Rhinolophus ferrumequinum: one gene and its partners. The protein of the gene in region 3 interacts with the protein of the main gene of each other region in a biochemical or structural test. Links are inferred from orthologs where the notes say so. Each region holds a gene or a part of one and is shown on either strand. Other genes may lie near its edges.

Region 1 (7,712 bases), on a different chromosome or scaffold from region 3:
AGCCCAGAGAGGGAGCTACAGGCCTCAGCTCAGGCCACCAGGCTCTGGCCCAACATCCCACCTCCCTGCCCAGAACAGCACCTCACACCGGGCCATGCAAGGCCCCCATCCCAGCAGTCCTGCCCTAGGGCTCAGGCTAATGTTTCCCAACCCCACTGACCATCCTGCCCTTTTGCTCCCCATCACAGGACCCCAGCTCTGCTGGTACCTTTACTGAAGAACACTTTGCTCTCCCTCCCAAACGCAATTCTGTTAAGAGAGATGATGTTCTCACAAGGCCACCTCCAGAGCTTTGGCCTAGAGCCCCAAGGGCCCAGATATAAAGGCCCTACTTGCTGGCTTCACTTCCCTCAGGAAGGACTCGTGTCTAGGGCACCAGGAGCACTTCCCACCTTCTGTGCGGGCAGGGAGGTAACAGCAATAGCTCCACCAGCAGTCCTCACTCTTGGGAGGAGCCAGCCCCTGGCTGCAGCATCATTTCTGGACAGAGCAGAGACCTGGAGAACCAGTGTTTTCAGGGCAATTCCACCACCCTGAGACCAAAGAGGGGTTTGCCACCTCTCCTTTCCCAGGCCTTTGGGAGTGGTGGGGAGGGGCTGGTCTCCCCCGTCTTAACCTGGTATCTTGGATAGATCTGAAGAGGGGCAGGCGAGTTCCACAAGCTTGGACAAGGGAAACACTATCACCATTAACTTGTAACTGAACCTAGCATTTCTTGCAATTCTGAGCATAAGCAACAGGCCACAGGCTGGGCAGGGCTGTGACTTTGTTGCAGACATCTCAACAACACGTTGCTAGGGCAGGCACTGCTTCAAAATAACACCTGCACTGGAGCTTCTCACTGAAGGCACCAAGAAGCACAATTAGAGTAATTTTTAAAAGTAATCTTGATAATTCTAACACCACCCACTTTTGTCGTAATTCCAGGCATTAATTTTGTGCATTAAAAACATAAATCAGGGATTCACAAGCTACAAACTGCCAAAATCCATGGCAAAAATATTAATAATAACGGAAGTAAAGGTAGAGACTCCCTGCTCAACCAGGGGAAAGGGGCTGTGGGAGTCAGCTGAGACACAAAGGAAAATACACCCTGTGAACACAGCAGAAGTGACAGGACTCTAGGGAGTGTCTGTGCCCTCCACAGCACTGGCCATGGGGCAGCAGTGGCACCCACTAGTAAGTAATCTAATAAGTGGATTCTAACAGCAACCTTGATTTCCACGTAGTATTAGCCATCACACAAGTCTAGGCCCTTTCTTCAGCCTCACTCTGATTAAAGGTCAGGCCAGAAACTCGACACCCATAAAAACCTTAAACTGCATCTTCAACTAACAATATTTATTTCTGAAGTAACATCAGGTCACTTACATTTTGAAAAGCTCCTCTTCGTCTTCTTCCAGCGTTTTAATTTCTTGCTCGGGAAGAGAAACTATAGGCTCAAACTGCGGGTCGTGGTTGGACTCATCTGCATTCTCGGTGGAGGTATCATGGTCCTCATGGGTGTCCTGTGGAGGGAGGTGTGGAGAGGTGACTGCTGGAAGTGGCCATTCGCACTGGTGAATGGCCTCATCCCAAAGCAAGAGATTAAGCCCATAGCCTTTCACACTAGGAAAGGTTTGCATGTACGTCCAGCATACAGTGAGACGCTGGACTTCAGCATCGTCCCCCAGATGCATCAATCATATTTGACTGGGATGCCTAAAACTCGGCTACCTATTGGTGGAATGGCCTGAGAAACTGCCCCATCTCTTTGAGCCTCAGTTTCCTCATCTATAAAATGTGGATAAGTGATACTGCCACGTGAAGACCAAAAGACACAATGAAGGAAGAATTGAAGAGGGCCTCAAAGGCAATTTCACCCTTAAAGCAAAAAAACAACCCTAAGAGTTTTTACTGGCTGGGAAAAATCTGTGCTCTTGCTTACTAGAAGAAAAAAAAGTTGGGACTGCTAGTTTTACACAAAATTCACAGTTCTGTCAGCACCTTTATGTTGCTTCAGAAACCAAGTTAATAAGTCAAAAGACAACATACAAATAAAAGCCATAAAATGCTGGTCCATTTTAGAGAACTATAGAACACAAAGGATCTTATGTTAGATCGAAGTGTTTACAGGACGAGTGGCTTGGTGAGCTATAAAACCAAAAGAAACCAAGACACTTCACTACCAGATGTAAGCCGAAAAAGAAAAGATAAGCCTTCGCTGCTTTCCTTGGTTGGAAAGCACTGCGGCTCGGCCGCAGCCAGCTCACCCAAGCAGCCACCACGCAGCCAACAAAGCCGTCCCCTCCCTGGGTCGGCGCGTCCAGTACCCGTCCACCCCGCTGGAACGCGAGAGGTCCTGCCGCAGAGGCCTGTGGCGGATCGAGACTAGGACAGAATGAATGAAGTGCTGCGCAGACGACGAGAAGGAGGGATGCATGGTCTTGGTAAGAAGCCCGCAAGTGGGCCGAGCAGAGGAAACCCGCCACCCGCCCTGCGTCCCTGGCAAGCGGTGAGAGGAACGCGAGACCAAGGAGTTGGGGCGGCGGGGCCGCCCCACGTCCTGATGGAGCTCGCCCGACCACCCGGGGCCGCCCCAAGGTCACGCGGGCACCCCGCAGCCCCCGGGCCCGAGCCCGCGCCCCCAGGTCCCAAGCGCCCCCGTCTCGAAGGCCTCGAACCCCCAGGCCGCGCTTCCCACAGCCCTACCCCGCGCCACCGAGACCCCAAACGCCGAGACCGCAGGACAGCGGGGGTTGGCGGCGGCGGCGCGGGCCGCCCACGTGGCCGCCAATAGCGGCCTCGGCCCCCCGGCCCCCGTCCAGTTCCTGCCCGGGCCCAGCCGCACCTTGGCGGCCGCCATGGAGGCGCGGCGGCGGCGGCGGCGGCGGCTCGGCTGGCTTGGTCGTCCCTGGCTCCGCGGCCTCTCTGCGGCTAGTCGTAGTTCCTTCCCTCCGCGTCTGGCGCCGGCGCCTCCCGCCCGCCCGCAGTTCCCTCCGCCCCGCGACCCGAACCCTGACCCCTGACCCCAGCGGCGGGAAACGCGCCGTGATTCAAAACCAGTGCAGCTTTATTGGCTCAGGCGACGGACAATCTCATTGTCCGGCCCACCCCGCGCTTCCCGCCAAAACGTCCGCGGCGCATGCCTGGCCCGCCCGGACAGAGCAGCGTGAGCTCCCGGCGGCCTTCGCGCGCACTTCCGCCCCACGGCTGCGCGCGCCCCTCGAGCTTTCGAAAGCAGGCGACAGACACCGGGGTCGGTGCCGGCGCACAGCGATGACGTCGACGGAAGCTAGGATAATAGACACGCGCCACCTAGTCTGCACGAACTGGCCGACGGGAGAGCTGCGGGCGGGGAGAGCGGCGTGCGCGGGGCCTCTGGCGGGCGGGAAGTGTACCCCATACCCGAGACCGTGGACCTGAGCACCTAGGGTTCCAGTCCTACCCACTCCCTCACGGGGCGGGACCGGGGGCGGCCTCTCGGCGCCGCACCTGTGCTCTGAGCGCCTTCTGTGCGCCAGGCCCAGGGCGAGGAGGCGGAGGCGGCACTTGTGGGGCTTCCAGTCCAGGCCTTGGACAAACTGGACGATGAATGATAAACTCGACAACGAAGTAAAGTGAAGGGAGATCCTAGCAAGAGACGCGGGGCCGAGATGGCGGACTGCGTGGGAGGGGCTGGAGGGGGGGGAGAGGTAGGAAACCCGTGGGCACGGGGAGTTGAGCTGGGAGAGGAAGGAAGTGGGGGTAAAAAGGGGTAGGTGTAGGATGGGTGTAGGATGCACTAACGGAGGTTTGGGTGTGCGGCCGGGGAGCCTGGGCGTTCAGCCCTCATCCTAGCCCTGCCTGTGTCCACACAGGGCCCGGGGCCAATGGAGGGCTGCGACCAGGACAGCAGCAGTGCTCTGGGCAGCCCTGCAGCCCCCGCCCCCCAGAAGGAGACGGAGGAAGAGGGGGCTGGGGCGGCTGCAGAGTCAGGGCCTCAGCCTGGGCTTTACAGCTACATAAGGGACGACCTGTTCACTTCGGAGATCTTCAAGTTGGAGCTGCAGAACGTGCCACGCCGCACCAGCTTCAGCGATGTGCGGCACTTTCTGGGCCGCTTTGGCCTGCAGCCCCATAAGACCAAACTCTTTGGGCAACGTCCCTGCGCCTTTGTGACATTCCGCAGTGCCGCTGAGCGGGACAAAGCCTTGCGTGTGCTGCACGGTGCTCTCTGGAAGGGCCGCCCTCTCAGAGTGCGCCTGGCCAGGCCTAAAGCTGATCCCATGGCCAGGAAGAGGCAGCGTGAGGATGAGAGTGAGCCACCAGCCACATGTGTGGCCGATGTGGTGACTCCTCTTTGGACCGTGCCCTACACAGAGCAGCTTGAGCGGAAGCGGCTGGAGTGCGAGCAGGTGCTGCAGAGGCTCGCCAAGTGAGTAAGGGCACAGTCACTTATGTGGCACTGGAGTTCTGCTCAGCTCCATGTTCACTCAAGCCCATCCTGTGCACTGTACAGACACACTCAGGGTCTGCACATTGTCTTGGGGAGCTAACCAGTAAGACCCCTGAGTTACCAGTGGGGATAATGAGGTCCCAAGGGAGGTTCTGGGTGCCTGGGTATTTGGAGAGTGATTGGAGATGGGTTGGGAGCAGCAGGCTGAGTCCAACCCCGGCCTCACCTCACCCTGCAGGGAAATTGGGAGCACCAACCGTGCCCTGGTGCCCTGGCTGCTCTCACAGAAGCACAAGCACAACAAGGCCTGCTGCCCGCTGGAGGGAGTCAGGCCGTCACCCCAGCAGGTCAGGCCCACAAACCTTCACCCCATGCTCTTAAAGAAGCTATCTTAGTCCATCTCTCCCATCCCTCCTGCTTTCCACTTATTCCTCATACTCGTCACGTGACTGCTGGTTGCTGTCAGCCTTGTGCCCTGGACTGCCAGGCCCTTTGGGGAGCTGGGACCTCTCACTCGTTGCCATCTCTCACTTCCTGCAATTTTCCCTCCATGTACAAGTGCGGGAATGCCAGGGTAAGGTCAGGAATGTCTCTGCCTTCCTCCACCCATTCTGCAGACCGAGTATCGTAACAAGTGTGAGTTTCTCGTTGGCGTCGGGGTGGATGGGGAGGACAACACGGTCGGCTGCCGGCTAGGCAAGTACAAGGGTGGGACATGTGCTGTGGCGGCCCCCTTTGACACCGTGCACATCCCCAAGGCCACCAAGCAGGTGGTGAAGGCCTTCCAGGATTTCATCCGGTGAGGACTTGTGGCTGGGCTGGGGGCTCCGGGATGTCCTGCGGTGGTCTGGGAGCAGAGGGCCGGGTCCTGCCTGGTGGGTGTGGCCGAACGAGAGGAAGGTAGGCTGATCTCCCAATTCTGGTCAGCATGGGTGGCAGGTCTCATGGACTCACGGCCGCTCGTGGCTCCCACAGGTCCACTCCATACTCGGCGTACAACCCAGAGACATACTCAGGCCATTGGAAGCAGCTGACCGTGCGCACCAGCCGCCGAGGCCAAGCCATGGCCATTGCCTACTTCCACCCTCAGGTCTCAGGCAGGGTGGCCCTGCTGCGGGAGGGTGTCCTGGCTTGAGTGGGCTGCATGCAACACAGTCTCACAGGACCTTCTCTACTTCCTACTCCAGAAACTGAGCCCTGAGGAGCTGGCAGGACTGAAGGCCTCCCTGGCGCAGCACTTCACAGCAGGGCCGGGCAAGGCCAGTGGCGTGACCTGCCTGTACTTTGTGGAGGAGGGACAGCGGTGAGGAGCCTGGGTAGGTGGTGGGCTGGATTCCTGCCAGAGCTGGTGACACTAACCAACTGGCCTACCACCCATAGGAAGACTCCCAGCCAAGAGGGCCTGCCCCTGGAGCACGTGGCTGGGGACCGGTGCATCCATGAGGACTTGCTGGGCTTGACCTTCCAGATCTCCCCTCACGCCTTCTTTCAGGTAGTCCAGAGTCCCCGTATCTTCATAATCAAGACACAAAGGGAGTCCTGATGTGACGTCAAGATGTAATAAAGGCAGTGCGCTAGGCGGTGACAAGTTGTTCACCTGCAGAGGTCTGGGGGAGAGCATCCGGGCTGTGAGGTCGGAATGAAGTCGTTTGCACTAACTAGACCCTTGTGACGAGTGTGCTTGAGGGCCCTATGTGGGGTGTAGGAGTTGGCGATGCCAGGGCTCTTGTGTGAACTGTGATGGAGTCATCCATGCCTGCTGCTGCTGTGGGTGGCCCCATACATCTGGCACTCAGTTCATAAGTTGGGGGAAGAAGGGGTCAGCATCAAGTTGCTTTTTAAGGCCCGGGCCCTGGGTGAGGTTATGCAGCATTGGTGTATGGAGGGGCAGTTGGAGGTGGGGAAGGGGTGGGAGCAGGAGACCTAGGAAAAGGGGGAGTAAGCCAGGGACTGGGCCACAGGTCTCCTAGCAGGGAAAGAGCCCTGCGGAGTACAGGCGTGGTGGGGGCGGCAGGAGGGGAGGCTGACCTGGGACGCAGGACTGCTCTGACATCCTGCGTGGTGCTGGCCCGCCCTCCAGGTAAACAGCCCGGCCGCGGAGGTGCTCTACACGGTTATCCAGGACTGGGCCCAGCTGGACTCCGGGAGCACAGTGCTGGATGTGTGCTGTGGCACTGGCACCATTGGCCTGGCCCTAGCCCGGGTGAGCCCTCCTGCCCCAAGCTGAAGACACCTTCTGCCTACCCCCACCCATGTGCTATCACCTCTTCGTGACCCCCACTGACCCCCACCTGAAAGACTGAGGTGAACCCCCAGCCTGTCCCAGAGCCTCTTCTCCCCATAGTGCCTCCTGCTACTCCCCTCCCCAAGAAGCCCCCAGGGTGGGGCAGGGCACTATCAGTCTGTGCCCTTTCTTCACTTCAGAAAGTGAAGCGAGTCATCGGGATTGAGCTGTGCCAGGAGGCTGTGGAGGACGCCCATGTGAATGCCCGCAACAATGGTGAGAGCCAGCGCACCAGTGGGCAGTCATCTCAGCACAGCACCTAAATCTTATTTCATGGCTTCTAGGGGCGGGGTGAGGGCAGGGCGGTGTGCAGAGCACAGCAGGGCTCCTGCTGTGTCCATGTGTGCCCGCAAGGCCCGGGCTGTGTGACACAAGTGCTAACAGGCTCCTTGGCTAGAGGTTTTCTTAAGGTGCCTCAAGACAGGGGCATCAGGACACCAGGCGGCTGGGCAGGCCCGAGGGGGTGCGCGGGGGCGGTGTCCTGCGTCCCGACAGGGCTGCTGTGCTATCTACAGAGTTGAGCAACGTTGAGTTCCACTGCGGGAGGGCCGAAGACCTGGTGCCCACCGTGGTGAGCAGACTGGCTTCTCAGCAGCTTGTTGCTATCCTGGACCCGCCTCGTGCTGGCCTACGTGAGTGGCATCCATTTGGGGATGATGGAGAAGAGGGTAGTGACACTGGCTGGCACACCAGGCTGTGCAGCCTCAGGCCTGATGCCCATGCTCACTAGCCCCACCAGCCCTCCTTGAGGTGGGGACGTTTCCCTGAGGGAGTCTTATTTCCTCAGATTCCAAAGTGATCCTGGCCATCCGCAGAGCTGAGAACCTCAAGCGGCTCTTGTATGTCTCCTGCAACCCCCGGGCAGCCATGGGCAACTTTGTGGAGTGAGTGTGAGGTGGGGGCCCCGGGTGGCTGGAGCCAGCACCGAACCCCCTTCCCCCCACAGGAGCCCCAGCCACTGGCTGACCTTGACTGCTCCCTTTCCACCACAGTCTCTGCCGGGGCCCGTCT
Region 2 (6,926 bases), on a different chromosome or scaffold from region 3:
CACCTATTGCAATTAGGGGATTTGTGCACTTTTGCCAATCCTGCTCACTCAGGCATCCTGGCTGCAGAATCCCTTAGTGACCGCCACCACGTCCACCTTTCGGCCACCAGTGCCTTGTCCAGCTTCTCGCTCAGTCTCACTGTTACTCTAGTCGGGGCCTCCACTAACCTGAAGCTCCCTTCTAGGGGTCAGTAAACTTCTCCTGGAAAGGACCACCTGGGTCTCCCACACACGGCAACCGCGTGCAGGGTGTAAAAGCTCCTTCAAAGAGCAGGAGGGCGGTGACACTGCAGGCTCCTGCTCTCCACTGACAGCAGCGTCCCTGGGCTCCTACAACTTCCTCTCCTTCCTCATAGGACCCCACTGTGGCTGCCAGTCCCGTCCGTCCCCATTCTGGCCTCACAGCCCTCCTCATTCAGCCTGGAGCTCACAGCCAGTTCCCTTCTCCCCCCAGGGCCCACTGCCCCCTTTCTGTTCCAAAGCTTCCACACGGTGCTGGAGAAGGACACTGCCCCTCGCTAACGGGACCCTGTAAACTCCTCCCGTTGAACTTCACGAGGCTGCCACCACCCTTTGGTGGCCAGTTCAGGTCAGCAAGCACGCATTGGATGGTTCACTGTGGACTGAGCTCTCTTCTTTAGAAATTCTCCTCCCAGTTTGGTGACGCCGCACCAAAGTCTCCTCTCACCTCTTTTTCCCTGTCTGTCCCTGTCCCTTTCTGCCACCCCAAGGTCAGCACCCCCCAAGGTCAGCTTCAGGGCCTCTTCCTCCTTCAGGCTGACTTCCTCCACTCCGAGAATCTAAACTAGGCCTCTTAAGAAACAGCGTTCAAAATCCATTATCTCCAGCCACCACCTGGTGCTCAAGCTTAAGGCTTGAATTTCCGAATGCCTAGACAATCTGTCCCCTCAGATATCCTGCCACTGCCTCAAATACCACATATCCCAACCAATTAATCCTTCCCCTCCACCCAGCCCCTTCTGCTGTTCCTGTCACTGTTGACGGCACCATTCCCATTTAGTTATTAGGCCAGTCACCTGTGTTACCCGCCTGCCTTCTTCCTGCATCTCCCACAGCGAGTCTTGCCACCACCCCTGTCTTTGCCCTCACACGGGTCGTTCCCAGCTCCCCCCCTCACTGCCTCTCGCCCCGGCTATCACAAGCTCTCATCTTCCCATCTCTCCAAATGCCAGTCCAAGGGGCCCGCGTCTCCCGTGACTGCCACACGTCTGTTCTTCTCCTTACAGATCTCCTGACATGTCACCTTCTCCAGGAGACTTCCTCCACTTCCATCGCCTCCCGCGCAGCTGCCGTCTCCTCCCCGTGATCTCCTACCCAGCACTGGTTATACCACCTACTTCACCTTTTATCACAGCTAGTGAGTTTTTAGTGGCGCACGCAGATGAGTACATCTGCAAGGTGATTAACAATATAAGGTGCCCTAGAAATTATACTCAACTCCACGCCCAGGAGGGGCTGCAGTCAACTCCACGGTTAGTTCCCCAGGGGGCGAAGGACTATGCTTCAGTTATCTAAGCCAGCACCTGGCAGAGTTGATCCTGAACCAACATTTGGTGAATGAATGACCGCGTGACCAAGACACCCGTAGACACGTGAGAGGTCCCACGCTCTTGCTGCACACCCCTCCCCCACCGCGCTGCAAGGAGGGCTGAGGCGTGTGTGCAGTGACAGCCCTGCTCACCCAGGCTCTTCAGGGCGGTTCTGATTAGCTTTCTGAGTGGCCGTGGTAAAAGAACTTTCTCCCAAAGTGGCTAAAGTCAGTTCCTAGCTAAATGCTTTCTAGATTTGAACTGCTACTGCTTGGCTAAAACCTGCAAAAATATTTGAATGTCCACTGACATAAGAAGAGTCTACTAAACCACGATACATGCATGCTATGAAAGAGTACTTTAAAAAAAACAAAAGTGATGCAATCTATTTGTATTCACCTGGAGAAAATTTAGGAGCAACATAACGTTAAATTAAACAAGAAGAGCAAGCTATAGAGCGACATTATGCTACATTTTTGGGTAAACAAAAGAAAAAAAACCCATGACTATGTATGGGAGTAGGAACACCGCTAGGATGGAGAAAGAACAGGAGGAAAGGATGCATTTATCAACAATCATTACTGTAGGGAAAGATTAGACGGGGTTATTAATTTATTCTTTATACCCTCCCCTTTGAGTCCCCTAAAGGCCAAGTCAAACCCCCACCTGAAAAGGGCCCTCTGGAGTGCCACTGAATGGCAGCGACAGGAAGAAAGTGGGAGACCAGCTTGGGGAGGTCTCCCCAAAATCCGTCCCCATGTCCCCTCACTCACTTCATGTCTATTTACTATGCAAACTACAGAAAAAGCCATTTGACATTCACTGCCCTGCCAAATTTCACTCCAATCTCATATATTTAGGATCAAGAGACGAGTCCCCCACCTTTACCATACGGGTTCCTGACGGTGACATATTGGTACCCGTGGAAAAATGCTTTTCCTTCAAGTCAGGTGCCCTCATCCTTTTAAAGAAGAGACAGGTGTGTGTGTGTGTGTGTGTGTATGTAAAACACAGCCACATACACGCCTGTATATATTTTACAAAATCTTTCTTAAAAATGGAAGGAAACTTACAGACAGTACAACGTATCCTTTTAGTGGACAATTCTCTAAGTTGTGACAACAGAGTCACAGCACAGGTGGCCTCCTAACTACCAGATAACAAGCCACACCGGGGTATTTCCATTTCCCCAAAACGTTTTATCACGCACGTTGCAGTTACTGCTTCACCCACACCACCCGCTGGCAACTGCTGCTCTGTTTTCTGTCCCTTTCGTTTTGTTTTGGTTCAGAATGTCGGATAAAGGAACTCAGACAGCAATGTAGCCTTTTGCGCGGCCTAATGCGTATGAGGCCAACCTTGGCTGTAGCCTGTATCGGCCTTCCTTTTTCTTTTTCTTTTCCGGCCAAGCAATAGTCCATTACACGGATGCACCCCCTTTTGTTTATCCCGTCACCTGTTGCAGGACATTTGGGTTTTCCCAGTTTTTAGCCAAAATAAATCAAGCGGCTACAAAGATTCTCTTACGGGTTCAGAAGAGCTGTTTTTCATTTCCTCCAAAGCCTTCCGGAAGTGGAAAGAGTGTCGAGAGGTGAGTGTAAAAGTAAAGCGTTTTGTCCAAGTGGGGCCAAAGGGGGGGCGCGCGCATCGGGGGTCCTCACGAAAGGGCGGGGGACCTGGGCTCGCGCCTCGCCGCTGTCGGGGGCGCACGTCCCCCCCCACCCCTCCTCCCCGCGTCGCTCCACACGGCAGGAGTTAGCAGGACGAAGCGGCCCGGGGCCCAGGTGGTTACCTGTCTCGGGTCCATTGCGCCCCAGAGGCATGTCCGGGCAGTACGACCCTCTCCCGGTGCGCCCCGCCCCGCCCCGCCCCGCGTGGTCCTCGGTCTCCAGGGGCCAGACTCCGGTCAGTGCAGTCGGGACAGGAACCCCCCCGCGCGGGCGGACACGGCTGCGGCTCAATTTCACTTTCGTTTCTCCGGAAGGACCGCCCCGTCGCGCAGTCGGGCCGAGGGGAGGGGCTGGGGCCGGCGGCACTGGCCCGAGTCCCGGCTTCCAGACCTGATCCTTCCACGCAGGAGAGGGGCAGGTTACCGACTCTTCCTTCAGGAAAAGAGCCATAAATACCGAGCTGCCCACGCCCCTGGCCGGCCCCTCGGAGACATGGGGTAAAACAGAGGGAAACGAAGCCGCTGGGGGGCCTAGCCCTTCAGAAAGGGCCCAGGCGCTGTCCTGGTCCACACGAGTGTCGCCCTGGTCCACACGAGTGTCACCATGTCAGATGTGCGAAGCGGCTGGGGGTGGGGGCCAGGTCTCTACAAAGGACTGCCATCCCCACTGTGCACTATTTACTCACATTCCTTGGTAACAGCCAGTAAAATGCGAGGCAATAACAGCAACTGAACAATTCAGGACCTACATGAAGCCACCCCGGCGCCATCACCCCCCCAGCAGGGGCGAAGCCCTCACAGCCAGCTCCACGTCCTCTTCACACCAGCTCTACAGGGGGGCGTGACTGCCAGACGACAGGTGGACACGGAAGCTTTCCAGGTCTGACTGCACAAAAAGCACCCTGCACCATTCCTCGACACACGCTCCTTACACCACAACTTTCCAAAAGATCACTTCTGTTATTAGAGGGAACAAACTCAGTTGGTTTCGTGATCAGGCGTATGTGTCAACTCTATCTTACTCAAGGTGCGGAGGTACTCGACAGCCCTCTCCCCTGTGAGAAATTATTTTGTTTCATTGCAGTTTCAGCCCCACTGCTTTTGAGATTTACAGGCAGCCCCTCTACAGCGGACGCCTTTCTCCACTGTCCTCCCGTTGCATGCACTCTGAGTGTCAGTCACCTCGGATTTCATTTAGTGTGGGCTGCGGCCTCTCTCCCTCTGTCTGGACAGTGTGTTCCTCCGCTAGAACGAACTTCCTGCACTGCTTCTGGCCAAACAGGCTTTCAGGATCTGCTTTGAATAGGGTGGCTGCAATGGGTGCGTCCTCATTCTGTGCCTCTCCGTTCCTCTGCACCGACCCTACTAGGGCACTGGTACCATCCTCTGAAAATGCCTCATTCACTCATTGATCACAACTGCTGAGCACCTAGTATGTGCCACATGTTTACATACTGAGGACACGATGGGAATAGGAGTCCCGTCCTCAGCTAACAGGCTGGTGGGGGAGCTGGCTGCCCCAACGTTCATCACCATCTTCTGAGTTTCTTGTTTACACATCTGCCTTTAGAGCTGTAAAGTCTTCTTCTCCGGGCAGCGAACATGTGTTATATACCGCCCACCCCCCTTGCAGTGGTGACCTTCAGTAGGTTGGTTTTTTGAGTGAATAATCAGTCGGAAAAACAATAATAATAGTCGGAATAATCAGTTGGCAAAACAGTGGTCCAGGAACTTGACACAAGAAATTCAAATATCAGTAAGCACGTGGAGCGTGCTCAGTCTCATCCCCAGGGTGACACGCACAGACTTCCCGCTCACCCACCGGACAGGCCACATTAAACATGTGATCGGGCCAGCTGGGGACAAAGGTGCGAGCAGCCGCTGGTCACCACAGGGCACCAGCTCACTGTCACTCCAGAAAGGCATGAATAGTCACGCCCTACAATTCAGTGACTCCACTCCAAGACCTGGAGAGTGTGCAGGAACTTCATTGCTCATTATTCAAAATAGCGTCCAAACTGGAAACAAATGTCCACCAAAAGTGAAACACATAAATGGTGGCATACAGCTACGATGGAATATTGTATAGGGACCAAAAAAAAAAAAAGAACTAGGGCCACAGGCAAGCAACAAGGTGGGTAATTATCGAAACATGCTATCAAGTGGAAGAAACCATATACACACTATACGGTTCCATTTACATGAAGTCCTACAGCAGGTAAAACTAAACTGTAGTCTGCACTGTATAAAGGATAGTATGTGTATGATACCTGCCACAATTTTAAATGGTAAAAAAGGAGAACAAACTCCCTAGAACAATTCCAGCCTGTCTTCCCACATTCTATTTTCCACTGAAGGCAAATGAGTTGGAGCTTACCTCTGCTTTCTTGCCTTCGGGCTAAACAATCCCACAGCCTTTAACCTTTGTACAAGAATGTTCCAGAAAAGCCATAATCACAGCTATCGTGCAGAGGAAAGTGCACCGCTGCTGCCTGCATCCCTTTAGTCTACCATGGGAGGCAGAAGAGGCAAATCTGTTTGCTAAGCTGAGGGTCAGTTGGTGCCTTGAAGAAAGAACAGCTCCGTGATTTAACCTGAGCAGCTCGAGTAACCAGAGTCTTATTCATAAACCTTTCATCTCCTCCCCCCAGCAATTGTTTCGGCTCCCATGGGCCTGAGAGGTGGTGACGGAAATCTTTGTGCTGCTCTATGGTAGGGACTCGACCAGTTGGATGAAGCTCTTTAAAAAATTAACCCAAAGTACCGGCCTGATTACAGGAAATATAGACAAGCAAACACAGTGAACATGACCCCCAGTCCCCTCTTTGTCAATTCGCTTATGCCTACCTTCCCGTGTTTTCCCGTGCAGAGAGGCACCCTGACCCCAGGCTCCTCTTCTAAGGCAAGTGCTCAAGTGCCCGCTGCCCCCGGGAAGTAACCCACAAATGCTGTGTACATACCACTGAGGGCTACTTACCAACGACCACCTAAGTGATTACTGTCATCTAAAAGAGGGTACATATGCAAAAGCCCCTCACTCGTCGGTGTTCTCGGAAGTCTGGCTTTCACACCACTGGGCTCCGTTCCGAACGTGCCTTCAGGGGCCTGGACCTCCCAGGTTATGGGGAGGCCGCCTTATCATCTGGCTACTGAGATGGTTTTAGTTTCCAATCGCTGCTATTCTTGCGTTTTCACTATAAATAACGGTTCGTCTGGCTTGTTGTGGATCTTCTGTTTAACCTCACTGCGTGCCGGCACGCAGATTTATAACAAGCGTTTTCAGTCTACAATTTCCTCTAAGCAGACTCCTGCACATATGGGCTCCATCCACTTGGATCTTCTTGCTCCCTATGGTAAAGCAGATGTCTGCAAACTCCCTCAATATTTGCTCACAGTGACACTGCAACAGAATTGCACTGTCTGTGAATGTATGCTACCGAACTTGTAACATAGTATCATAGTATCAGAAAAGTCGTAACTTCCTGGGTTAGTTTTAAGTACTAGGGCATCGTTTTAGACTAGGATAGACACGCACATAAACAAACTCAGGTTATCTTCATTCCTAGGAAATACATAATCCATCGACTCGCTAGACACACATCTATTGCTCTCCTCTTTTTGTTGTTTCTTTTCATTTCTTTATCATTGGGGTTTTTTTTATTCCACTGTAACACTTACTGTCACATCAACATAATTTTCAAAATGCT
Region 3 (7,425 bases):
CAAAAGACTCAGGACACTCTGAAAGCCATGCGTGAAACCTCACGTTAAGAAACCTTGGTTTACTGTATTTAGACCCAACAAGGTCAGATGGTCATCGCCTGGTGTCCCCCTCTTAACAACCTTCCAAGATCAGGAAGTCGGTGTCTGATTTGATTCCATTATGTTTGGACAAACTAGCTTGATTGGAAGATGTTATTTCTTAGCTATTTTATAGCAGTTTAAAAATGTTAATAATGGCAGCAATTTCAATTTTAACCCACGTTTCATTTAACGATATCAGTTACAACAAATTATTAGTTGAAAAAACGAGTCAGTTAAGTTAGACATAAGTTAGACAATGTAAAAACACGAGAAATTAAGAGTTGAAGGATTTTTTATTCCTAAGTCTTTTGATCCATTGACAGTAAAACTGATGATTTCAAAAACTTTTATAGCAGTTATGAAACGTGTTTTAATACACAATATTAGCATACACAACAAAAATCTTTGATCTAAATACTAACCATATAAAAAAGGAAATATATTCCAAATAAATGTGTCCTCCCTTCAAGTGCCAATTTTAAAAGAGCAGAACAGCCTTAAAAGTTGAGGTTGAACAGCAATGTCCACAAAGCACCAAAATCTACATATCAAGTGTTTTTTTTAATTAAAAACTAGACGAACTTTTCTCCCATTTAACCCTATCATAATTTAGTAGCCAAAACAAAAAAGTAACGTGCTCTAAAAGTTTCATTTTCGAGTACACTGTCCTTGGAGTTCTTCCAGCTAAATTCTTGCTAAAAACTCAGATGTAGAATAGAAACTTGTGTTAAACACATTAGAGTTTGCCATCCTTAGAACTAGCGGCTATCTTCGAAATGACCTACCTATTCTTGAACTGTACGTAGTACAGAAATGGCGGCTTTCTGTTCAATGCCAAGCACACTTAGTCCCCCAAATCAGCTTCCCAACTATTTTTTCCACTAACTTCAGTATCCCACACGCTTAAGATATACAATCAGGCAGATAGCAAACAGGCATAGCGGGAGAGGGAAAAACCACAACACAGCTTTTTATTCTTTGCGACACTCAATCCTAAAATCCACTCACTGGATAGTATACGTTATCCAGCAACGTGGTGACTCTACAAGTGACTACCAAAATACCTTCACTGCCACTTCCAACAGAATAGGCAGACAGCTACACACTGCCAGCTCACATCCAAAAACAGTAAAATCATAACCGTCGCTTAATGATAACTACATAGTAAGTCAAAAAAACAAGTCGCTACAAGGACAGAGACTGCTACTTGGGTGTGTGGGCAATTGCTTGCTCCATTCAGTAGAAACACACCTCACTAAGGCCCGCCCTCCCCTCGCTCCCACCCGAAGCGATTTGCAGCACTTCTAACTATAGCATACCCGAGCACGCACTCACCCCGCCCATACTCGGAGGAGGCAAACACCAGGCGCACCAAGTTCACCGCCCCATTCTCTATGCAGCATGGCCTCTGCGTGATCAGAGGAGCTCGGGGCTGGACAAATCTTTAATGCTTCCTCTACTACACCACTTCCTCCCACCCACGCCAAACTCAGAGACATCGGAATGAAGGAGAATCAGGGCATCGTCCACTCTACAACACCAGCAGTAAATGATTCGATCACAACACACTCAAGCCCCCGAAAACAAACTGGGACACGGAACCCATTTACAGATCCCTAAAAAATCAACTAACCTTTCCTACTTTAATCCTACCCTGCAAAAAACTAGAAAGATTTTTGAGTTTCCTTGCAAGAGGAGCAGGGACTCGGCAGCCCCTCCCTCCCTCGATCCCAAGCTCTCCACCGAGCGGCCACGTGATGCAGGCGGACGTTTCAATGCTGCTGCACTAAATATTTCTGGAAACTTCCACTCCTAATAATTTACAGAGATGTTCCTGAAATCACCCCAACTTCTCCCTATCCCCTTGGGCTGGGGAAGCCCTTCCACCCCCGCGTGGGGGCCCTGCTTCACTATCACGCTCTTCGCCTTCCTCCACCGCCACCCTCACACACGAATGACCCAGCAAGCGCTCCCCTCCCGCGGCCGCCTCCATCCCCCAGTGGCAGAAGCGGCTCCATTCAATCGCAGGCTCCGCTGTGGGCCCGCCGCCGCCTCCTGGGCTCGCCTCCCGCGGCCGCCGCCGCGCCCCACGCCGGCCTCCTCCCGCCCCGCCGTGCCGCCGCCCGACCCTCGGCCCCGAAGACACAGTCGACTTACCCAGAGATTGAACCAACTGCTTCTTCCTTCCTTGTCGGGGGATTAGGGCGAGGGAAGGCAGGGAGAGGGGAGAGGGGAGGAAATCAAGGTGGGTTTCACAGTTTTCCCACCTTAAAAAAGGAAATTAAAAAAAAAGGATAAGGGCAAAAAAAGCTCAACAATATTTACTATTTCAGGGACACCTCCCCCCGAAACACACCCACCCGCCCCCCCAAAAAAGAAGGGAAATTAATCTGAGAAATAAATGCTCCCGCCTGGCTAGGGAGTAAGGAAAGGGGGAGGGGAACGGGGTCAAGTCCCAAAGATTCAGCCCCAGGGAGACCCTCCAGCCACAGGCGGCAGCAGAAGCGGCAGGAGTAGGGGGTGTAGAGTCCACACGGTCGGGGGACGCTCTGCTGCCAGTTGCAGTCCGACTCCCCCTACCAAAATACGGCTCCCTCTCTCACGCGGCTCCGGCGCTGGGCCCCCCCCACCCCGGCTCGCCTAAACTTTCCCCCCTTCTCCTGCTCCTCAGCGACTGGTGGTTCCCCCCTCCCCCTCTGGGTGGTTGCACGGACTGCAGCAGCAAAGACTGGAACAGGCACCGCCGCCGGGGCTGTAGCTACTGTTGCTCTTGCTGATGCTGTAGCTCCCGCTGCTCCTGCCGCGGCCGCTGCAGCCGCTTCTCCCCCTCCTCCTAGTGCCTCAAACTCGGAACCGGTTGAAACCGGTTCAGACTGGGAGATTCCATCTCGGTTGAGTTTTCAGCCCATGGCGCCGCGGAGCGTTTGGAACCTGGGCCTCCGCCCCCAGCCCGACCGCCCATTGGCCGGTTCCAGCCACAGCCGCGCCATCAGCCTACCTCTAACTGGCCAGATCCCCCGTCAATCCCACCTCAAGTCTCCACACGAGCCCGCCGCTTCGGCCCCCGCCTCTTTCCAGCAGCGATTTGCCCGCAGAGTGGGGGAGGGGAAGTGGGGCGGGTCGAAGAGGAGCAAGGAGAGGGGTGGAGGAGGAGGAGGTGGGACGAAGAGCTGAGCCCAGCAGAGAAGGGAGCGAAAAGAAGACGCGTGGAAGATTGGTTCGAGTGAGCCGCCAATCAAATGCAACCCGCCCTCGACTTCCCGTCCCCCTCCCGCTGCTTCCTCTCCCACACCCGCTGGCCCAGCCTTTCCGGCCCGCTCATTGGCTGGGCGCCTTTGGTGACGGAGAGGGTGGGGCGCAGCTCGTGAGCTGGTGGTGGCGCGAGTTTGAGCGCGGCGCGCAGCATTTTCGCTCGGCTTTCCCGGACCCGTGCCGTCCCGCCCCTGTCGGCTCCCGCCAACTTGCGGGGCCTGAGCCCGCCGGAAGAGGACCCGCCCTCTCGAATGGGGGCTGCGCTACGAAAAGGGAGGGCACACCCAATTTTTCTAATCAGGGAGAGGGGTGGAAAGAAAACGAACACATCCGAGGCCAAATGTAGGCCCCAGACCTCTAATCCATTTTAAAGCCCTGAGTTTGGGGCCTGGGGAGTTGAGGGTGAGAACAACCGTAAAAGAGGTTGAGGTGAGGTGTAGTAGAGACGTTAGTGCTTGGCTCCTTATGATCTCAGAGACCTGCAAAAGACAAATAGTTGCTGGGCAAGTCTCCTTCAAATTTAATTCGGTGTCTCCCCAGGCTGGAATTTGGCTGCTTCAACAACCAACCCTTCCTAAAAACTAATCCCTATAGTGGTTTAACATTGCATATATTCGCTGGGTAATCTTGCATGCCAGTTGCCTCCCACTAGGTGCCCTTGATCTGCCTGTACCATCGATTTTTCTTTGCAGCATAGTTGCCCTTCTAATGCTTCATCGTCACCAAATAGTATTTTCTATGATAGTCACGCGCACGTGGCCTTTCACATGGTTGCCTCTCGATTGTCCCCAAGTGCCCTCAGCTTTACTGATTGTTCTTTGCTTAAGAAAAGGCGAGCGGCACACCAAAATTTTCTGGGCCCATTGTGCCACCAAGAGGTTGATAAATGGTTTATTAAATCAATTTTTTTCAGCAAATCTTCACTCACAGTGGTCAATGGCTGACACACCAAAGCACCACTTAAAAATAACTCCCTCGTCCAATATATTGTGATGGAAAGAGAACTGAGTCTGGGTGGTAAGCACACAATGTGATACATAGATGATGTATTACAGAATTGTACACCTGCAATCTATGTAACTGTACTAGCAATTGACACACCAATAAACTTTAATTAAAAAAATAAAATAACTCCCTCATCCTCCAATAAAGAAAAATCCAACAACTTATTGCCTAAATTTACCAAAATGATAATTGGATGACTTTCAGACCTAAGGTTTTTATTCATTGCCTATCTGAATAATACAAAACCATAATATATATGACATAAACTAATCATTTGGAACACTTAACATTCTATTACCAGAAAAACTGAGACTGTCCTATTTTTTTTTTTAAGTTTTTCCCTCTACATATTCAGCTTTGACCAGTCACTGAATTTTTAGATGGCAGAACAATAGGAATAAAAACTGGGAGTAAGACCTGGTTTTGCTCAGACTGTGACCTTGGGTGATTCACTTCATCTTTTTGGGCCTCAATTTTTTTTTTCTGACACACTTAATGAAACTGATACCATCTATGCCTGTCTAATACATGTAAGGATCAAGTGGATGTGAAGGAGTGCTGTGGCCCATAAAGCACTTTGCGGATTTTAAAGTTCAAATGGTCTCAGTTTGCTATCCCCTTCTTTGACTCTTTTCATCCCTTCTTTAAATCATACCCCCAGGAGTTCATATTGTGTGACCATAATGAATCAGATGTAAATACCGGGGGTGCCAAAAAAATGTATACACATGATTTGTATTCATCTTTTGTTATTGGTATATATTGAGTATTAAAATTATAATACAGTTTTCCTTTTTTAATATGTGTGTACATTTTTTTGTATTTAGCCCATTATTTTTTTGCCTAGAGTTAGCCAAAATGGAGTATTCAATATAAGCTTCTTATTAACAAGTGCAAAAGGAAGTGACAGGGCAGATAATTATGTTTGATCACTGTATTTTCAGGATCAAATTCAGAACACAGGTCTGACGTGTGTCTAATACTTTCTTCATTACCTTCATTTGTTGGACTCACACAGATTTCAAACCTTGGTGGATATGGATAAGGAAATGTAAATACCCTGTTTCCCCGAAAATAAGACCTAGCCGGACAATCAGCTCTAATGCGTCTTTTAGAGCAAAATTTGCTCTAAAAGATTGTCCGGCTAGGTCTTATTTTCGGGGAAACACGGTAAACCATATTGAGTGCCTGCCTGCTGTCTAGCAGACTGTTAGAGACCTTTTTTGTACAATATTTAACTGAATTCTTACAGCAACCCTGTAAGATAGTTACTATTTTGCAGATCTCACTCTGTTCCACGCCCCCATTCATACGCATATACACATACACGCAGGTACACACCACCCCATAGTACTTTAGTCCATAACTAGAACCCATGTTTGTGTTCTTCGTACTAGTTCACATTGTCTCGCAAAACAATAACATTCATCAAAAATAAGAGAAACAGAAACTCATAAATTCCTTTCTACCAATTGTCGTGTATTTCTATTTTTTAAATTATTTTTAATTTAAAAAGTAATGCATGATCACTTAACAATTCAAACAATAGAGAAAGAATTATCTACACTAAAAAAGTAAAAGTCCTCTTCCTATGCCCCGCCATTTCTTTTTCCTGTCCAGAGATAATCATCATTAAGGGTGTGATGGTTTGAGATGTTTTCTATCTATTCACAAACATATTTGCTTTGTGTTTTGTTCAACATATATGATATCATACTATACATATTGTTCAGTGACTTGAGTTTTTACTTAGCATGTCAGAATGTATAAATCTACCTCATCCTTTATTAACAGCCTCATAGCTTTCCCCATCTTCTCAGTACCAGAAATAATTCAACAATTCCCCCCACTGAGGACAATTAGGCTATTTCCAATTTTTCCCCTTACAAATGCTGCTGCAGTAAATACCCCAGTACATTTATGTTTGGACACATTTGTAAATATATCTCTAAGTTAACATCCTAAAAGTGGAATTACTGTGTCAAAGGCCAAGTATATTTGTTATTATGATAGGTACTGGCAAGATTGTGTCAATTTGCATACCCACCACAATATGTGAACAGTACCTGTTTATTCCTTATCAAAGCTATAGATATTAAGGTCACACCAGAGTTAAATAAGGAATCTTTGCATTTTAATTTGAACTTTTGGTTCTGGAAGGCAATCTTCCCTGACGGTGAGCTCTTCAAGGAATATACAAATGATAAGATTAAATGCCCATATAATGTAGTAAAAATATTTTTTTAAGTTAAGGATATGCAATAAATCTATTATTTTTAATAACAAAATTGTTATTTCAATCGTTTTGAGAACATTGATACCACTTTGCGCTCAGAGGTACAGCAACAGTGACTTTCCAAAATGCACTTCTTCCTACCAGTCATGAAAATCAGACACTTGGACTGAACATACCATGATTCACTGGGTATGTTCATGTATCGAGAACAAAGTCATAATCCCATGGGCTTATTCTTCCTAATGACTATCTAGGGCACATTTGTGACTTTGTAAAGCCTGAAAGGAAGCACTGGGAGGCGAATTTCTTTGAGAATATTTTATACAAAATCTTTTTTCTATTTGCTTTTAAAAATACTGTGCAAAACACTACATCACATCACATGCTTAGATTTCAAAAACATTACCAAAGTAACAGAGAACAGTAAAATTGTGTATGATGCTGAAGCATGAAGATGGAAGAGAAGGATACTCTTTGCAAGAAAAAATTGACCTAAGAACGCATAGTTCAGGTTCACATTTATTCCTATCAACCCCAATCTACAGTGTTGAGAATGTTTATGGAAAATTAAAATATTCTATCTGTGAATCTAATTCCTATGTGTCCAAGACCTCAGTGAATAATCTATATGGAGTCTGTGAAACCTCAAATCACTCAGGAGCAGAATAAGCAATTGTCTGAAAGTGAGTTGCTGCCTTTTTGAGGACACAGTGAAAAAAAGCATCTGACAGGGCTTTTAAGTCTAGGAGTAATAGTTTAACTATCTGAGAAATTTATACAGTTCTACGAAGTGACATACCACAATGGGTCTTTTACTCATGGAGAAGTGAGAAATGAAGTATCATTTAACT
Region 4 (7,627 bases), on a different chromosome or scaffold from region 3:
CTTCCAGCATTTTTTTCCAAGTCAAGTTGTTGTCCTTTCAATCTTAGTTGTGGAGGGCGTAGCTCAGCTCCAAGTCCAGTACCATCCCTTGCGGGAGTCGAACCGGCAACCTTGTGGTTGAGAGGATGCGCTCCAACCAAATGAGCCATCCGGGAGCTCAGGGCAGCTCAGCTCAAGGTGCTGTGTTCAATCTTAGTTGCAGGGGGCGGAGCCCACCATCCCTTGCAGGATTCAAGGAATTGAACTGGCAACCTTGTGGTTGAGAGCCCACTGGCCCATGTGGGAATCGAACTGGCAGCCTTCGGAGTTAGGAGCATGGAGCTCTAACTGCCTGAGCCACCCAGCCGGCCCCTCTTTAACCTTTTAAACCGCAATTACTTTTGCACCAACCTAATAGATAAAAATGTAAATAATTCACTTTATAAATGCTGAATTTGGGAAGCACCAGAACATAACACATTACCGTAACTGCCTGTCTAAAACCAATGCTAAAATACAACTAAAAGTTTTAAAGTTTTAAAATAAAATCCAAGTACCCAGATTATTTACATGAGGTGAATATTTTTCTGTAAGAAAGTCAAACCTCCACTGTCAAATGCCAGTTCACTGAACAGAGACCTTTGTTTATTGTAGTCAACCACTGTTAAGAGGTATTTGTGACTGAATTTCAAAGTATATGCCACTTGCACACATCTTACATTTGCTTATAGGGTGGGCGGGCTCAACCAATATTTTAACATAAAGCACCCAGTCTGAAAAATGTCAGGCTGCAACAATACAAAGGAAACCCTAATTAACTGGTTCACAGCCAGCTGGTATAGACGTTGGTCTAAGTTGGCCGTTAGCTTGAAAACTTCACACAGAATTACTGGAAGTGATAGTATAACACACACTGTCAGAATTCAAGTGCCAACTATGTTCATAAAAATGTCAGACGACCTTTCTTGCCCCAAATGTCATCTAAAACGGGGAGAGAGGAGGAAAGCTCCATCCATGGGGAAAGGAGTATCACTTGCATAAGGTAAAATATCTCCAGGTGGGGTACCCTCATTCATGAGGAATGCTGCCTCCCCACTTGATTTTTCCCACTTAGCTGCAAAGTGAGTGTTTTCAAATCTTTCTTATGATTGAAACGGTCAAGGATATTAGTGTCAACTAGGATCTCTGGCTCTTAAGCTTTAGGAGTTTAAGGACATGATAAAGGTTCTCTGTGCATAAAGTAGTAGAGGATCCATGCGCCTGGGGAAGAGCCCATGTCTCATGTTAGAACAGAATCACGCACTATGGATCCTGGGGAAATCACTTAAGTCCAACCCCTCAGGAAACTGGAGTCGTAAAATGGCTTGTCCAAGGTCAACAGTCAGAAGGGGAATCCGGCAAGAAATAAGCAATTCAAAAAAAATTGAATAAAGCCGTGCAAGTCACCAAGTAACTTTTTCTTCTACAAAGAAACTAAGAGATAACCACAGTAACAGAAGTTTTAAGAAGACCTGGAAGGAACCGACACAAGCGCTGTTGCTCAAGTTCCTTATGCATTCCTAGAGCTGAACACGGAAGGCAGAATGTGACCAGAAAGCTTGAAAAGCACTCACCATGTTCCACAAATACATTGCAGTGTGGACCCCCATGCCTTGCCGATTCCTTCTTCCCTGCTCCTTTGATAAAGTGCAGGGCAGGCAAACTTGGCCTTCTTTGGTCCCCAAGAACTTTTCCAGGCTGTTGCCCCATAAAGTAAGGATAGGCACCCCTTTCCAGAAGAGGGTTCAAGATCTTTCAGAATGATCAGCGAGCTTGGGAGGACAACTGTATATACGTTTATGTGGGATTTCACATTCACTGCATCTCCACAAGTCAGTAACTGAGGTCAATCCCAAAAAACACACCTTCCATAACCGAAGGAAGCAGTTTTTAGGCCGACATATGTAAACAGGAGTTCCGATTAGTTTTGGCAGTTTAGCAATTTGAAGTAATGTAATTGCAAAGCTACCCAAAAGTTTCTTGATTTTACGTGTCTTTTACTGGCTGAATAACAATTTCTTTCCTTTCGAGGAGAAAAACCTAAACAGGAATGTTCACAGGGGGTGCTGTGAAAGGGTCAGTAATACTCAAGTCATTTTGACTCCCCCACATAAAGAAAATGTTGATCGGCTTTGGATGCTTTTCCAGAACTTTTCCTGTGGAAGTCACCCACCCCCTACTTTCTTCATCTTCCGACAAATTCCTCCTGCGAACTAGCTGCCGCTCCTGCTCCTCTTAGCCTGCTCTCCGGAAAAGCACACGGGTCCACCCAGGCTTCAGCGCGAGTTTGCCCTCGACTCGGACGAAAAGGAATGCATGGCCAGCAACTTTTAAGTCCGCTTTTTAAAGGCCTGTGAAACGAGTCCAGACTTTTCCTTTGCATTAAAGTTTTGGCAGGGCTGAGAGCAGGGGGGCCGTAGGTGACATTGGGAGAAGTCAGGGCATTTGAGGTTCCCCGGAGCAACCTGGGGGGAAGGGGAGCCCACTTGACAGCAGGGAGGGGATTTGAATGGGGGGCTCCGAGGCCAAACTTGGGGCCGGGAGTCGGAGAGAGGGGCGGCTCGAAGGTAAGAGGGAGGCTGCCGGGGCGCGGCACGGTCGGCTGACTTTACTCGGGGGCGACGCTCCTTCACGCCTCAGGAAACCGGGTGTCCCAGGTCTGGGGGAAACAGAGACCACCCCCAGGGTCCCAGAGCCGGGGCGGGGCTGTAAGGGACGAAGGGCTCTCGCGGCTCCGAAAGCGGGAGGCGGCGGAGGGGGGAGGAGGAGCCCGGCCGCCTCAGCTGCCCCGAGCCCGGGGGTCTCTGCCCGAGACACCCCTCCCCGGCCCCGGACGTCGCCGCCGCCGCCAGGCAGTCACATCCCTCGAGCTTCGCCGCAGGACCCAGCCTCCCCCCGCAGCTAGGGGCCGTGGACAACGGAGGGGCTCCCTCAGCCGCAAGACCCGGGAACCGGCTCCGGCTCCAGCGCTGCTCAGGGACGAACACCGACCCCCGCGACGCCATGATGGATACGAGCCGCTCCACAACGAGGCCAGGCTCGCCCCTGGTCCCGCCCCCGGCGACGTCCGCAGCGCGCCTCGCGAAGACCGGGACCCTCCTGACACCGCTTTTAGGGACGCAGCCGGGCCTTCCCGCTTTAGTCTGCCTGCCCGCCAGAACCTGGCCCCAGACGACCTTTTAAATGTGGTCTTTCCGAGTGCAAGGTGAGTAGTGAGGCAGCACCCGCCTCCCCTGTACTACCATTGGTCCCCGAGAATCCGGGTCAGGTCTCTCGCCTGAGTCCTATTGGCTGATGAGGGCAGGAGGGCTACAGCTCCCAGCCAACTGCTTTCGGCGTAGCCCACAGGACATGCCGGGAGTTGTGGTCCGGTGGTGCGCGCCACTGTCCGTGAGCACCGAGACGTCTTACCCTCTGCTCCCGGTTCCTGAGCTTCGGTCCCGCCCTCCTGGGAGCCGGTGGACTCTCGCCGGCCTTGCATAGGGTTGGCCAATGTCTCCACTGCGCGGGTAAGACCCGCGAGGAGCCAAAGCAAGGGGAAAACTGCGGATTGGACTTTCTCAGAACCGGAGTTGGATTACTTCCTTGAGCCTCTTTTAAGGGAGAAAATTTAGCTCGCCGCTGGAGACCAAGGTATTTGGTGCCCACTCCCTGACCCCAAATTTCCACCTCTTCCCAAGAAGCATAAACGTTAGAACTAGCGAGAAATAAATGACTGGAAAGCATCCGACATATTGCTAAAGAATTCATTGTTTCTTTGGGGCATCAGGAGCCTCTCTTTAGAGAAACAGCATTTGTTAAAGCACCTCTCGGAGGCTGAGCCAGGCGCAATCATGGATTTTGAACGGAACCTTTACAATTAAACCTCATTTTACAGGTGTACATGTATTTACCTGAAAACATCCTGTGTTGGCCGGGAAAATGTCCATTGTTGTGTAAGGCCTACAGAGCTAGCCAATAACGCGGACACAAACCCACCCCCGTCAGAACCCATCTTCTGCTACTAAAATTCACCTTTTCCCTATTCCTAACTCTCCACGTCTCCCCAGAGCGGTGCACCTACCTGACAAGAATATACGAGTTTCTAAGGGGAATCACTCATCACTCATCACAATGCCTCCTCTACACCACGCAATTGTTTTTCATAAACTGTATTATCTCATTTAATCCTCACTGTAGCCCAATGAGGCATGTAATACCATCCTCCATTAGACAGCTGGGAAAACAGTCAGAAACTCGACCTAACTCAAGGTCACTTACCTAATATGTTAGAAAGTCAGGATTTGAGTCCAGATTGGTGTTGATCCAAAGCCCATGGATTTTCCACCATAACCATTCAGTATCAAATAACAGTCAGCGTAATGTTAGACAACTGATTTTTTCATAAGTTGCTAATGATATTAGGGGGAAACCACAGCCGTATTATAGATCTTGTACATTGTTATCTTGACTTAGGTATTTTGGATTGGAAAATGGTGTGATTTTATGTAGGCTTCAAGAAGAAATAGTCACCTGGAGGGAGTGAACGTGAGCACATGAAAATCTGTGCCCAGATTCAGAACTGGAATTTATATTCAGATGGTAACTGGTTGAACTTTGCTCTCACAAAAGTCTGGCCGATAAACTTGGTCCTGGCTTGTATATCACCCTGAAAACTTCAACGCCCTTGTTCCTTTATTTACCCATTGTCTTATCCTGATTTACCACCCTAATTTTTTTTTTTTTTGGAGACTTGCTTTTTTATTTTTATTCATGTTTTAATCATTTCCTGCTCATCTTCATTCTTCATTCTCTAGTTTAGATTAAAATCAGGCAATCCAGCCAGAAACTCTAATACACATTTCCTGAACAATTCATTCGACAAGCATTTATTGAGCTCGTGTTGCAAGCACTGTCCTAGGTGCTGGGACACAGTGGGGGGAGGGGACAGGACTCGTCCTCCCAGAGCACACATGGAGGGAGCAACAGGCAATAAGCAAAATGAGTAACAATCCAAAGTGTCAGTCTCAATGGTGGAAATAAAATTCCTAGACCTGTATCCCTTCTCAGTGAGTCTGACCCACTCTCTGCAGGATCATTTTGACACCTCTCTAGAACTGAAACCTAGTCCTCACTCACTCACAGGTGCTAATGGGATTAATCCAGTCACTTGAATTCTCCGAATGGCAGGTCATACATGCCAACTTTACAAGGTTATCATAAGGGTCAAATGAGATCTTGTTTGGTTTTCCACAATTAAAGATGAAATTATGCTTCCTGAAAGTCAGTCTGGAGGCCAGCTGCACTTATCTAAACACTTATCCCAAATCTCCATTTTCTACTTCCCCCATTTTCTAATTTTAGGTGAGCCCCCAAGCCCAGGCTCCATTTCTGGAGATGTACTATACGTTTTTACTCCCCATACAACACTGCAGAAGGATATTTTTAAGGACTTAAAACTAGAATCCAGAGCCCGACAAATGCCTGACAGAATTCAGTGTTTCCGAATGTTGAATTCCTCACGTTCATATATTCTTTTTATTAAAAGTAGTTTGTTTCAGTCTAATGTTATCCTCACTTTTATAAAGCAAAGCAATCAATCAAGTTGCTAAAGGGATTCAGTACCTGTGTGATCTGCCCTTATTCCATTCAGTTGATTCCATTTTTTCCCATCGGCTGGAATACTTAACAAGGGCGCCCTCTAGTGGGCCACAAAAAATAATCACTAAAAAGTGCTTACAGACCTTCCTTTGTTATTTCCCCTTAGTGGATACCATTCAGCAGATATTGAATGAACAGCATGGGTAAGCAGCTTGGGAAGAGAACAGGTGAGAAGGATAACTTTCCACAAATTTACACATGGCCCTGGTGAAAACCAAACCAAACCCGGGACCCAGGCATCCTTTTCCATTCCCTTCTCTCATGAGGCATACGGCCTGGCACGTGTTGTCAAAAATATGACAGGTGAGCAGGTCTAAAGTTGCAACACAGCCTACAGAATATTCAGTTGTCTGCAAAATCCTCGAAACAGCTGATACCTTTGGGACAGAAAAAGAATGAGGTAAAAAATTGTCTATTGAGTAACGTTAAAAATATACCATTTAACAAAAGCCATGCTGCATTTCAAAACTGTCAAATGCAGGGTTCAACGTTACTACTGAAACTGTCCTAAATTTTATAGCTGACACAGGTAGAATGGTTAGAGCCTCTGGCAGAATTTCTATCTGCTTAGCCCTCTACCAACTGTACTCTTCTCCCAAGAATTATAAAGAACACAGAACAGAAAGTAATGTTAACGCCACATTTATAAATATAAAAAAAATGGTTCACATGTGAAATAAAATTGCATTTCACAGAGTGCCATTAAAAAATGTTTTCCAAAATCGAAACCATTTTTTAGACGTCAAAAACCAATGCATAGGGGGGCAGCCAGATGGCTCAATTGGTTAGAGCGCAAGCTCTTAACAAGGTTGCCGGTTCAATTCCCGCATGGGATGGTGGGCTGCGTCCCCTGCAACTAACGACTGAAAACGGCAACTGGACTTGGAGCTGAGCTGCACCCTCCACAACTAGATTGAAGGACAACGACTTGGAGCTGATGGGCCCTGGAGAAACACACTGTTGTTTCCCAATATTCCCCAATAAAAAATTTAAAAAAAAAACAACAAAAAACCAATGCATACAAATTCTAGCATTCCCAGTGAGAACTTCAGCAGCTTGGTTTTATCTTTCAACCTGAAATTATTCAAAAGTTAATGCATTACTACTTCAATTATAGAACACTAGCTTTTCTTTTCCCATCTCCATTTTTCCTACTCTGATTTCATGTTTATCAGAGCACCCAAAACATTCATTCTATTACCAATAATTCAACTTCTTACAAATCACCCTCACAGGCAGGACAGATTAAGGCAGCCAGTGTAGGTATAGTTGTATCTATCCCGACAAGGGAGCATGCAATGGGAAATAAGACCCAGCCAAGCAGAAAGCTGCTTGGCTGCCTTTATTCTTCTATTTGACTGCTGGGTTACGTTTATCAACTATATTCTTCAATGTTGTATTTGTGTTGTAGAGGAGGTGGGAATGGAAGCCAAAACAGACAATTTGGGGGTCAGGGCGGCCATGTTTTGAGAGGGGCAATTTCACGGGGCCTTGTGCCTTGTGAATTGATGGAGAGTAAAAGATTTGCCGTATTATTCCAGGAAGGGAGTCCACTCAGCTGGAACCCTGCGAGCTTTTAAAGACCCCAAATAACCCTAATGCCGGGATCTGCAGGCAGGCCCAGGGGCCAGCAGTGCGATTCACCTCTCTCAGGCTTTGCCTTTGAACATAAGAAAGCAGGTCTGTGGGCTGGAGGCGACCTGACGTAGGTCCAGTGATGAGTCTCCCAGTCCCAGGGCTTTGCTGAGCCCCACACAGGACCACAAATCAGGGTCTTCACTTTCAAGAATTACTCCAGACAGGTACACACAGTCCTGTTCTTCAGATGCTTCTCCTTATCCCTCCTGTTCTAAAAGTCTCTGGCGAGTTTCCATCACAATTTCCTCCATTATTTCAGGCTTTAAGATGTCTTTAATCTGAAAAAGGAAAAGGTATTTGTTCAGAAAAGAAACCAACGATAGCAGTCTAT

Evidence for each region.
Region 1: the proteins of XPO1 (region 3) and RANBP1 form a complex in vitro, tested with the Homo sapiens proteins (3 studies listed by BioGRID, with this or other methods). The link is inferred for Rhinolophus ferrumequinum from reciprocal best matches to the Homo sapiens genes XPO1 and RANBP1.
Region 2: the proteins of XPO1 (region 3) and ADAR form a complex in vitro, tested with the Homo sapiens proteins (2 studies listed by BioGRID, with this or other methods). The link is inferred for Rhinolophus ferrumequinum from reciprocal best matches to the Homo sapiens genes XPO1 and ADAR.
Region 4: the proteins of XPO1 (region 3) and ABL1 interact in a test that uses a peptide from one of them, tested with the Homo sapiens proteins (2 studies listed by BioGRID). The link is inferred for Rhinolophus ferrumequinum from reciprocal best matches to the Homo sapiens genes XPO1 and ABL1.

What each region holds. Positions count from the first base shown.
Region 1 is NC_046308.1:24,568,650-24,576,361, reverse strand, and holds the start of RANBP1 (ran-specific GTPase-activating protein), read right to left. Parts: upstream 3,005-7,712; 5' UTR 2,846-3,004; coding exon 2,831-2,845; intron 1,509-2,830; coding exon 1,372-1,508; intron 1-1,371. Other genes in the region: TRMT2A (tRNA (uracil-5-)-methyltransferase homolog A), read left to right, coding at 3,636-3,674, 3,840-4,396, 4,656-4,764, 5,035-5,216, 5,393-5,507, 5,605-5,720, 5,798-5,909, 6,498-6,620 and 3 more. UniProt on the Homo sapiens protein: Plays a role in RAN-dependent nucleocytoplasmic transport. Alleviates the TNPO1-dependent inhibition of RAN GTPase activity and mediates the dissociation of RAN from proteins involved in transport into the nucleus.
Region 2 is NC_046305.1:53,159,238-53,166,163, forward strand, and holds the start of ADAR (double-stranded RNA-specific adenosine deaminase), read right to left. Parts: upstream 3,015-6,926; 5' UTR 2,972-3,014; coding exon 2,909-2,971; intron 1-2,908. UniProt on the Homo sapiens protein: Catalyzes the hydrolytic deamination of adenosine to inosine in double-stranded RNA (dsRNA) referred to as A-to-I RNA editing.
Region 3 is NC_046296.1:27,576,030-27,583,454, reverse strand, and holds the start of XPO1 (exportin-1), read right to left. Parts: upstream 3,015-7,425; 5' UTR 2,239-3,014; intron 1-2,238. UniProt on the Homo sapiens protein: Mediates the nuclear export of cellular proteins (cargos) bearing a leucine-rich nuclear export signal (NES) and of RNAs.
Region 4 is NC_046295.1:78,885,169-78,892,795, reverse strand, and holds the start of ABL1 (tyrosine-protein kinase ABL1), read right to left. Parts: upstream 3,006-7,627; 5' UTR 1,729-3,005; coding exon 1,593-1,728; intron 1-1,592. UniProt on the Homo sapiens protein: Non-receptor tyrosine-protein kinase that plays a role in many key processes linked to cell growth and survival such as cytoskeleton remodeling in response to extracellular stimuli, cell motility and adhesion, receptor endocytosis, autophagy, DNA damage response and apoptosis.